3 linked regions of the Rattus norvegicus genome follow. The protein of the gene in region 1 purifies or fractionates together with the protein of each later gene. This does not show direct contact. Links are inferred from orthologs where the notes say so. Each region holds a gene or a part of one and is shown on either strand. Other genes may lie near its edges. The genes, in order: Nolc1, Csnk2a2 and Arrb1.

Region 1 (4,187 bases):
CAAGGAAAGCTTACTTGAGCCAAAAGCTATAAATGTCCAAGAGGGAAGAGGCATTGGCGTCCTGCTGTGTCTGTAAGAAAAGAGGCTTGGTTAAGGAAAGCGTCTCTCGGTCAGATTCTGTTACTCTTTGATCAATGTAATTTGTCAGCCTGGCATGGTCCCAGCACTTGGAAGACAGACTGGCAGATCTGTGAGGCCAAGGCCCAAGAGGACTATATACAGAGTTCCAGGACACCAGGGTTATGTAAAGAGACCTTGTCTCAAAAGTTGTTTTACTGGCTGGAGAGATGGCTCAGTGGTTAAGAGGTCCTGAGTTCAAATCCCAGCAACCACATGGTGGCTCACAACCATGTGTAATAAGATCTCATGCTCTGTTCTGGTGTGTCTGAAGACAGCTACAGTGTATTTATATATAATAAATCTTTTTTAAAAAGTTATTTTAAGGGGCTGGGGATTTAGCTCAGTGGTAGAGCGCTTACCTAGGAAGCGCAAGGCCCTGGGTTCGGTCCCCAGCTCCGAAAAAAAGAACCAAAAAAAAAAAAAAAAGTTATTTTAACTACCTACTCAATTTGAAATGGATGTTACATCTTAAGACTTTTCCTACTTGTATAAATTAGGAGAAAAATATTCCACTTACATATCACCTAACACTGAACATGAAAACTTTATAGCATAGCTATTCCTATGCCTTTCCATCCACACTTTTACCAGCGCCCACATCTGTTAACTCCAGATCCACGCAATCCTGACACCTGTGGCTTCATATTTTCTAACTATTAACTTTTTTCCTAAACAATTGACTTTTAAAAGTCAGAAAGGAAAAAAAAAAAAGTCAGAAAGGCGGGGCTGGAGAATTGGCTCAATTCCCAGCACCCACATGGTAGCTCTCTACTGTCTGAACTCCAGAATCTAACACATCACACACATTTACATGCAGGCAAACCACCAACGTGCATGAGAGAATACATAAGCAAACAAAGGTTCCAGGTGTGGTGGCATATGCCTTAAATTCTAGCATGTGGGAAGGAGAGACAAGTAGAGATGAGTTTAAGTCTACACAGTGAGCCCCAGGACAGCCATAACTATATATTGAGACCCCATGTCTTAAGAAGGAAGGGTGGGGGGGTTGGGGATTTAGCTCAGTGGTAGACCACTTGCCTAGCCTGGGTTCGGTCCCCAGCTCCGAAAAAAAGGAAAAAAAGAAGGAAGGGCGGGGAGGAGTAAGGGGCACTGGAAGAAGGTCCATCGGCTAAGACCATTCAGGAACAGGTGGGCATGTATCATCAGATCACATGCCAGGCTGCCCTGGCTCAAAGAACTCTCTTATGTGGTCTGGTGGCCTGTAACCCAAGATTCCCAGGATCTAAGGCAGGAAGATCATAAGGCCAAGGCCAGGTCAAAAATGGCCACAGAAACAGGAGGGGACCAGGCAGTTATGATGGTGCAGCCTTTAATTCCAACGCTGAGGAATCAGAGGCAGGGGCATCTCTGGGAGGCCAGTCTACTCTGCATATGAGTTCCAGGCTAGCCAGGGTTACACGATGAGACATAGAAAATAGAAATAGAAATAAAGCAGAAGAAACCTAAATTGTCAGTTATGCTATCACCCTGAAAAAAAAAAGACCGTAAGTCTACACAGTCTTTCAAGGTGTTTCCATGAACACTACAGCTTTTCTTAAGATGCAGACGAGACATTTCACATTCCTTCACTTAATTTTGCTCTTACATGGATTTGAAGTGACACAATAGCTGTCACTCATCCCATGGTCCCTGTGTGTCTACAATGAGATTACTGGCTTGTGTATTTTTCGCTTGGTGAATCTCATTCACTCAAAAGCTGTAAATAGGGCTGAGCACACCTTTTTATCCCTGCTTTTGGTAGGCAGAGTGAGAGCTGAGTTCAAGGACAATCTGGTCTACAAAGTGAGTTGCAAGACAGCCAAGGCTACACAAAGAGAAACTCTTGTCTTGACAACAAAAACCAAAATGGCATCCTGCTATGTTCAGGCATGCTTAGGATGAGGAGGCTGAGGCAAGAGGGACAGAAGTTTACATCCATCTTCCACTCTACAAGGACTTTTATACACAATATAAAGGGTTGAACTTTGTTTTAAATAAAAGGATGCCCAGGATCATCAATGTAGAAAGTGGTGGATCTGGCCTAAGCCTCCATTTGCTTTATATCACTACCTGAAGCTCCAAGCCCAGTGCCAACTTGACAGGGAAAGATGCTCACGCTTTCTATGGTATACTGAAAGCAGCCTATCCCTGCACTCATTCATTAAGTAACTAAATAAATAATGATATCCTAGTTTTCATTGCTACGCAGTTTATCCCTGCACTCACTCATTTTTTAAAGTGTATAAATAAATAGGATCCTAGCCTTCACTAGTAACAATTTATCTTTGAGTCTCAGGTAAAACTGCAACCAAGTGTAAGTCCAACAAAAAGTACAGCAGAAGCAGGCACCGCCAAACCAATGCTCCGGGAGGGATCTATCGCCACATGTCCTAGGTCACGAGGGACCCATGCCTGCCACCACTGCAAAACTCACCAAAAGCCGTAAGATTCGGAGCTAGTCAGACGTGATGGAAAGAGATGCCGAGACCTTAAGCCTCAGAAAGGTCGGCAGAGAGGCTTCACAGACATTAGACTGACAGACCCCAGACCTCGATTTCTTGACTTCTAAACCTGACAAGGCCTAGACTACCTTGGAGAGTCGTCCCACCCCGGCCCGCAAACCAAACCAAGGACTCACAGCGCCTGTCGCTTTTGCAAATTTACTGGCCACCTCTGAGAGCTGGTTATCTCGCAGAAAGCCGAGCACAAGGGGATAAAGGTCGCTGGGAACCACGCGGCGCAAGCCGGTATCCGCCATACTCCGGGTTAAACGCGTCACTACCGTTGCGCACGCGGTACGACTGAAGAACTCCAGAGCACAGCCAGGGTAGAGGGCGGGCCCAGTGTCGTCATCACGTCGCGCGGCGCGCAGCGGAAGAATGGCCCCCACGAGGCAGGGCTCCCTCCGCCCCGGAGGCAGGACGCATGCGAAATCTATAAGTTCCTTCCGGTCTCACACGCGTCGTCATCCTGTAAAGGGCGGAGCCCACTAGCCTTCCCCCCCAAGGAGGCGGAGCTTTACGTCAGAGGTCACGCTCCCGTCCGAGGCGGGAAAACTTGCAACTTCCCGCGCATTATCTCTGCTGAATGGACTTCTATCTATAGAAACGTAGTTTCCAAGCCCCGGCTGCTATTCAGACCCCACGATAATCAAAGGAATGGAGAACTCGAGTCTCTTTCACCTTTCTAGAGGTGTCGTCTACTGCTCAAGCTCCCACCAACAATGACTTCTTCACATCCTTCACACCCAGTGAGACTCAAATCATAAGGCAATCCTAAAAGTTGTGGTGACAAAGGTGTTAGTATCCCACATTGACTGTCAGTCACAGCTAGGTTTAAAGACTGTTATCCCAACCATACACAACTCGAAAAGGGGGAGGAGAGCACGGGTTCATTCCAGAGAAAAGATCAAGGGACTCAATAACCCTTTCTTCCTTAAGTCAGAAGTCACACTGAATTCTGAAAACTCCACTATCAGCTATTTTCCAGGTCACATTAGTTATCCCTCACGAAACAATAAAGATGCACTTCCTGTGAACACCTTTTACTTTCCTCAAAACAGTCGCTCCTTCTAAAAAGAAATGTTATCCTATTTCCCAGAGGAGGTGCTTCTATCCATCCATCCATATTAATTTTTTTAAAAAAATCCACGCGCCAGGACGGTGATCAAATTAAATTGGTGAGCTTACCTGAAACACTTAATAGACACAAACCCCAGTTGAGAAAACTTTTATTCTCATAGGCTTGGTGGCAAATGCCTTGAAACCCAGGGTTGAGAGACAAAAGTAGGTAGATCTGAGGAGAGAGGGAGAGGAGGGTGGGGCAAAGGAGGAGGAAGAGGAGTTCTTTTGAGTTTGAAATACTATAATCCCAACACTTTGAAGGCAGAAGCAGTTATCCCTTGAGTGAGATCCAGGATAGTCAGGTTTATACAGAAAAACCCTGGCTTCAGAAGACAAACAACAACAACAACAAAAAAAAAAAAAAAAAAAAAACCAACCCCAAAACTGTATCTTCTCCATCCCACAAGTGTCTGTATTCTAAAATATCTCCATGCACAGGCTGTC
Region 2 (3,647 bases), on another chromosome or scaffold:
AGGGAGAGTCCCTCAGATCCTGAACCATGCGCTCTGCCACACTGCACAGCGCAGCGCCCTGCAGACTACTGGGGAGTTCCTGCTTTGACAGACTTAGGTCTTTACTCTTCTTTGCCTTTAGAAGGAAGGATTAGAATCTCTGTTTATCACACTGCAGTTTCCTTCAAGTTTTTGTTTGGTGGTTGGTTTTTATGGGCAAGCATCAGTGCCGCATTACCGTCGATTCCCCAGGCTTCATCGTGCTGCGGTGAGACCACTGGAAAGCACGGTGTTCTCAGCACAAGGCTGGGACTGCTCCTTCACCACCGGGTCTGCAAGAGAGGAGCACAGGTTTCCCACATGAGCACAAGCACTGAGGTTATAGAGAGAACACCATAATAGCCAACTGCCTTTCTTTTTCCACAGTACCAAGACAGACACATTTATGTGGGACCCGGGTTATAAAAAAAAAAACAAAACAAAACCAGGCACCAAGCCAGGATCAGGAAATAGTTCCTTATTTTCCCCCCTCAGAGCAGGGTCTAGAACCCACAGTTTCACACATGCTATGGCAATCAATCTACCACCAAGTCACCTCCTCACCTCCCACTGAACATTTGATTTTGGGATGAAGTTTTACAAGGTGCTCAGAGAAGCCCTGAACTCACTCTTCTTCACCCCGATGATCCTCCAGCTTAGCCACGGTGGCCTCATGCCCACTGGGGAACCCCCCTCCCCCGGAGCTGGGGACTGAACCCAGGGCCTTGCGCTTGCTAGGCAAGCACTCTACCACTGAGCTAAATCCCCAACCCCGGGGAATTTTTTTCTAGGTAATTTTTCTATTCCCTTAGAATATAGACCCAACTGCTGAAAAGCACAGAAATTCTAACTTAGCACTGTTCAAATTTATACCAATTCCTTCCTTGAGTACCAGTGTCATACAGTGACAAGCATGTGTGAAAAGGTGAATGAAAGAGCCAATGGCAGGCAGCCACTGTAAGGGGCAGTCAAATACTGAGCTTATTTAATCAAATAATGAATTATGTGGATGGAACCTTCATCAGGTTGTTTTCATTATTATTTCTGAGACAGATCTCACTACATACCTTAGATGGCCTCAAATGTACAGTCCTCATGCATATGCGTGCCTTATGAGTTTACATTAGTATTGTTTTCTGTTTCATTGTTTCTGTTTGAGTCAGGTTTTCTGTGTGTAGCCCTGGCTGACTATACTGGAACTCACTTTGTAGTTCAGACTGGCCTTGAACTCAGGGATCCACCTGCCTCTGCCTCTCGAGTTCTGGGATTACCTGGCTATTTAAATTAAAGACAGGCCTCAAAGATCTGACTACCTCCTGAACGGCCGACTTAAAGGTGTGTGCCACCACTCCGGGCTATACCAATATCCTTACAGTGGCCAACCCCATAGGGTAAAAGCAGCTCTGTGTTGGAAATTAGAAAGCAGACAATTGAATGTTGCCTGTTCAGCCATAGAAGGCTGAAAGAGAAGACCCTGTATATATTTTTTTCTTTTTCTTTTTTTTTTCTTTTTCTTTTGTTCCCTTTTCTTTTTTTCGGAGCTGGGTACCGAACCCAGGGCCTTGCGCTTGCCAAGCGCTACCACTGAGCTAAATCCCCAACCTGACCCTGTATATTTTTTGTCCTTAAACTTCTGCTGTAAATTTGAAACTGTAGCAACATATTCTTCGTGTTAGTTATTATTAGGAATTAGTTAACTCCAGAGGTAAAAAGGAAAAGAACACATAGTAGTCAAACAACACACAGAAGCCTTACAGGACAGAGTTCATCTTGATTCAGAGAGAACTAAGTCTACTCAACTTCATCTCTCTCAGCCTCTTCCATGACTAGACTCAGCTACCTCTTCAAGTACATGGGTAAGGTGTGTGTGAAATTTCAATGGGGAGAACTACTAACATTCAAACGATAAGCAGGTCCAGAAGGAGCACGTGTGCTCTATGGAAGATGTCAAAGGTCAGAGTCCAGTTGTCACACCTGCCTGTTCCCTCACCTCAGAGCCCTCTTATTCACACATTGCTTCCTTTAGAAGCACATGGGGGGCAATGGCTGGAGAGATGGCTCAGAGGTTAAAACCACCAACTGCTTTCCAGAGGTTCTGAGTTCAATTTCCAGCAACCACATGGCTCACAACCATCTGTAATGAGCTCTGACACCTCTTCTTGTGTGCACGAAGATAGCTACAGTGTACTTTCATACATAATAATTCTTAAAAACAAAACAAAAACTCACAGAAGTACGGGTGCTCCATGGCCTCTTTGGCGGTCAATCTCTGTTGATGGTCGTACCGCAGGAGCTTGTCAAGAAGATCAAGGGCCTCGGGGCTGACAAGGTGTCTGTTCTCACTATGGATAAAGTTTTCCCAGCGCTTCCGTGAATGCCTAAGAAAAACAGTGTATCATTACTATTCTGAGACTAAACTACACAAAAAATTCTCCTCTACTAGACCCAACACCAGTGACTCCTTAAACCAGTGTGAAGCAGCTGAAGCTCATTCTTGGAGGCACCCACTTCATATAACTGACGCTTCTTCAACCCCCCCACACCCAGTTATAACCACGATGTACTGACACCAAACTGCTCAATCATTAGATAAACAGAATTTGTTTAAAACTTCTACATCTGAGTGAGAATTGGTTCAATCTTTCTGGATTATTCTTATGGCCCGTTTTTTTCCCAACTATGAGTGCAGCCTGGTGGACAGAATGAGAGAGTTGGCTCTAGAAACAAGTGGTTTCCTATAATAATGTGTGAAGACGCCAGGCAAGCATTTCCTTATAGCATGCTGCAGTGGGGCTGGCCATGGTGGTGTACATCTGCAATCCTAGCACTCAGCCTGAGGCCAGCCAGGGCTGTGCAGCAAGACCTTGTCAAACAAACAAAACTCTAAACCACACAATCTACTGTACCTGAAAACTCAGCATCCTTAGTATTTATTGTAAAACTTAATTCAGAAAAATCAGTTGTTCATTTCTTATTCAAAGAAACATAGTTTTCCCAGATTTGTCGCCAAAGTAAATATATTCAGGGCTGGGGAAATGGCGTCAGCTCCTCTAGAGTTCAATTTCTGACAATCACATGGTGGCTCACACCCATCCCTCACTCCAGTTTCAGAAAACCCTATTGTGACTCTGCAGTCATCAATACACACATGGTATGTACACGTAAACAGATAAAACACGCTTACATATAAACCAGAAAGAAGTAATTTAAAAAAATTTTAAGTACATGCTTTAACCAGAGTAACATTTTTCCCCCTGTAACATTATGATTTTGTCTTCTATTTATTTGCACAGGATCTCATGATTGTCAGGCTGGCTTCAAGTTCAATGATCCTCCTGCCTCAGCCTTCCAGGTGTTGTGATTAGAGGATTAGAGATTTCCATGTCCACACATGGCTTGTCTTCCATTTCTTTTTTTTTTTTTTTTTTTTTTGGTTCTTTTTTTTCGGAGCTGGGGACCGAACCCAGGGCCTTGCGCTTCCTAGGCAAGCGCTCTACCACTGAGCTAAGTCCCCAACCCCGTTTGTCTTCCATTTCTTAGTAGGAGTCCTAGCACTTAGAAGGCTAAGTCAGGTAGCTCTCTGTGAGTTGAAGACTAGCTCTGGTCTACATAGCAACCAACATCAATAT
Region 3 (3,647 bases), about 92 Mb from region 1:
GGGGTCCTAAGGGGTAAGAGTTGTTGTCAGTGTTTCACAAATGAGGGAACTGATGCACAGGGAGGTAATTTCCCCAGAGCATGCCGTAACTCGCCAGCTCAGTCTGTCCCGGCTTCTACCCTAAGCCCTGTGACCTCCATTGAACTCTCATTCGTGGGCCTCTCTGAGTCACCTCTTCACTGTCCTGCACTCTTGGCTGAATCCACATCCTATAATGGACATCCTCCTCCATGAGGGCTGTTAGTTCTGCACACTTCCACTTAGCAAGTGCCAGGCGGCAGGTGCTGACCCACGTGCTGAGACTGTGGTGGTGAACCAGCTAGGTAAGAAGTTCCCATCCTCCAGTGGCTCACGCGATCAGGAGACAGGGAGCAAGAAGTAAAAAATAGTCCCTTTCTTACTATTTATTGTGCTGGGTCCTGGGATCCACAGACCCAAATGAAGCACTGCTGTCGAATGGCTCAGGGACAGGGTTGAGGAGGCTGGGGCTGTGTCACATGGTGACAAACCCTCCAGGTTAACCACCGTGATTGGCGAGCAAGAGGGAGCTGCAGTAGCCACTTGAGCAGAGAAGGGAGTGTGGGGGCCGGTGACTCTGTCTGTCTTTCTCCCCATCCATCTTCTTTAGGAATTCTGTGCGGCTAGTCATCCGGAAGGTTCAATATGCCCCTGAGAGGCCTGGCCCTCAGCCCACGGCTGAGACCACCAGACAGTTCCTCATGTCGGACAAGCCCCTGCACCTTGAGGCATCTCTGGATAAGGAGGTAAGAGACTCAGATCCCATTGTCCCCAGCTCTACTACCCCTCAGATCCCAGTGTCTCCTGACAGCCCTTAAGTGTTTGCAGAACCCTGTTGTGGTTCAAAGGACTGACAGAGGTAGGCATGGGCATTTACAGGATGGGAGCAATGGAAGGGTTCTGGTCCTTCTCTTCACACTCTGATAATTGCCTGCTTGAGACCGGGTGGAGAAGCCCAGCACATCAGCAGGGGTGATGATGGGAAAGAGGACCCAAGGATGCCTTGCTATTACCCTCTTATCTATGAGCAAGAAGGTGAAAAACCCTTGAAGTCAGGTGACTAAGCCAACTGACTGGGGTGTAGGAGTGCACCTCCTCCTTCTTGGGGCAGCTAAAGGCAAGGGCCTGGACGAGTGGTGGAATTCTCTAAGAATTCCGAGCAGGTCCTTTAGTTGGTTAGCCTTTCCTCTCTTCTCCTGAATTTTCCAGAGTTTAATGTGTCTGCGAACCCAGACCATCAGAGCCCACAGGGACTTGAGGCCTTGCTCTGTCCAAGCCTGCACATAGAATAAGGAGAAGCAGAGTCTCAGATAACCTGTCCAAGGTCATGCAATGTTTATCATCATTGCTATTATTGTTGTTTGAGCTAGTGATCAGAATGGGACTGGAGCCGAGGATGTCAGCTTCTTTTTCTTTTTCCTATGTGTGTATGTGGGCGTGCATGGGTGCATGGGTGCTTGTGTATGTGTGTGTGTATGTGGTATGTATATGTGCGTGTGTATGTGTGTGTGATGTATGTGTGTGTGTGGTATGTATGTGTGTGTATGTATGTGTGGTGTGTGTGTGTGTGTGTGTGTGTGTGTGTGTGTGTGCACGTGTGCCCACACATGCATGTGTGTGGACCTGGAGGACAATCTTGAAGGTGTCATTCTCAGAAATGCCATCCAGCTCCTTTGAGGCAGTCTGTCAGTGGTACAGAGCTTACCTGGGCTAGATTCTGTGGGCATTGAGCCCCAGGGGTCCTCTTGTCTCTGCCTTCCTAGTGCTGGGATTACAAGTACCCAGCATTTCTACACAGCTTCTGGAGATCAAACTTAGTTCCTTGTGTTTGCAACACAAGTACTTTACTGACAAAGCCGTCCCCTCAGTCCTGGAATGGAAAGACATCTAGTACAGACGTCTTTGAAAGGTCCTACAGTGGTACTGAAGGTTCATATACACTTGGTAGTTTTGTGACACTTTTATGTCAGTGGGAAGTGGCTGAAGAGCTAGGGGGCAGAGTTTAGTGTCCCTGCCCACACTCTTCTGTCTTTTGCCTCACAGATCTATTATCATGGAGAGCCCATCAGCGTCAATGTCCATGTCACCAACAACACCAACAAGACTGTGAAGAAGATCAAGATCTCGGGTAGCTGGGAATCCTTCTGGGGGGGTGGGATAGCGGCAGGCGTGGTCTTCATTAAAAGCCTGAGACAGTACCATTAGTAGCTTCCTGAAGCTTGCGTCTGCCGGCAGCCTACAGTGGCTTCAAAGCTGGGCAATGGGTTTACTGCCTTGCAGATTCCTTCTTAGGCTTCCTGGGCTCTGGCCAAGCTGTCCTGGGAAGAAAGACTTCGTCATGGAAGGGACTAGGCTTTGATGGGGTTTCTGTTTGGGTGGAGTCTGGGGTGGTGGCCTGTGGTAAATGCTGGCCATTGTCTCAATCTAAGCAAGCACATCTGCCACAGGGAGCTTGAGGTATATCATGAGAGGGACCCCTGACTCATGCGCCCACCTCCCCGGCCCCTCTCTCTCCAGTGCGCCAGTATGCAGACATCTGTCTCTTCAACACAGCTCAGTACAAGTGCCCAGTGGCCATGGAGGAAGCTGAGTAAGTGTGTTTGAAGCCAACTTTGGATGGGTGGGACTAGATAGGAGAAAGGGAAGTTCTGAGTCTAGGACCAGGCATCTTTTTTTTTTTTTTTTTTTTTTTTTTTTTGGTTCTTTTTTTCGGAGCTGGGGACCGAACCCAGGGCCTTGTGCTTCCTAGGTAAGCGCTCTACCACTGAGCTAAATCCCCAGCCCCAGGACCAGGCATCTTTAATCAACCTGCAGAGAGCCGGGCCTCTGCCTTCTTTGACATTCACAGTAGATGGCACGGAAGAGTCTTCCTCCAGGTGCTGACATTATAGGCGTGAGCCAGCCACACCTGCCACTTAGACCTGGTTTCTAATATCCTAGAGACAGAGATGTTAATATCAAACCAACTATTCTTGCATTATTGGATAGTCTCATATTCACTGTTGATTAAAAATGAAGTCCGCAGCCACAAGGCATAGATGTTGGGGGTTCATTGCAACGACCTAGAGCCAGGACAGCATTTAACCCCAGGTGGGACACCATAGTCTGTATATGCATCTGCAGCCTGGAGGAAGGATAGTCGTCTGGGCTTCCAGTGAGCATGGTTTCCCGTGGGGTTGGGCTAGGGGGTTGAGATGTGGCTGGCTCTGCTCCAAGAGGCAAAGCTGGGCCTTACTCCATGGCTGCCCTGGTGTCAGGTGAATGCATCTGTCTCATCTTTGGAAAGGGAGAGGGGGGATAAAATAGCACCAGGCCAGAGTGAACAACGGAGGTTCCTGTACATGACTGATGGATACGCATTAGAGCAAGTAGAGTTTCAGTGGTAGAACCTGGGTAGGAGCTGCCAGACACTTACTCATGGTTTGCATGCAGTGATACTTTTGAAAGTAAACGTGGGCTGAGTAGTTAGGAGCCCTTGCTGTTCCTCTAGAGGACCAGGGTTCATTTTCCAGTCCCCATGTCAGGCAGCTCACAACAGCTTGTAATTCTAGTTCCAGGGGATATGATGTGGTGCACATATAGTCATGGAGGTGCGTGCGCACGCACACACACAATTAAAAACTTAATCA

Evidence for each region.
Region 2: the proteins of Nolc1 (region 1) and Csnk2a2 purify together in Homo sapiens (affinity purification with mass spectrometry; 5 studies listed by BioGRID and IntAct, with this or other methods). This does not show direct contact. The link is inferred for Rattus norvegicus from reciprocal best matches to the Homo sapiens genes NOLC1 and CSNK2A2.
Region 3: the proteins of Nolc1 (region 1) and Arrb1 purify together in Homo sapiens (affinity purification with mass spectrometry; 4 studies listed by BioGRID and IntAct, counting the BioPlex papers as one, with this or other methods). This does not show direct contact. The link is inferred for Rattus norvegicus from reciprocal best matches to the Homo sapiens genes NOLC1 and ARRB1.

The regions. Positions count from the first base shown.
Region 1 is NC_086019.1:254,869,102-254,873,288, reverse strand, and holds the start of Nolc1 (nucleolar and coiled-body phosphoprotein 1), read right to left. Parts: upstream 2,931-4,187; 5' UTR 2,879-2,930; coding exon 2,759-2,878; intron 71-2,758; coding exon 15-70; intron 1-14. UniProt on the Homo sapiens protein: Nucleolar protein that acts as a regulator of RNA polymerase I by connecting RNA polymerase I with enzymes responsible for ribosomal processing and modification.
Region 2 is NC_086037.1:9,593,273-9,596,919, reverse strand, and holds part of Csnk2a2 (casein kinase II subunit alpha'), read right to left. Parts: intron 2,397-3,647; coding exon 2,248-2,396; intron 312-2,247; coding exon 235-311; 3' UTR 218-234; exon of another isoform or gene 1-217.
Region 3 is NC_086019.1:163,305,671-163,309,317, forward strand, and holds part of Arrb1 (beta-arrestin-1), read left to right. Parts: exon of another isoform or gene 1-622; intron 623-628; coding exon 629-764; intron 765-2,061; coding exon 2,062-2,146; intron 2,147-2,535; coding exon 2,536-2,608; intron 2,609-3,647. UniProt on the Homo sapiens protein: Functions in regulating agonist-mediated G-protein coupled receptor (GPCR) signaling by mediating both receptor desensitization and resensitization processes.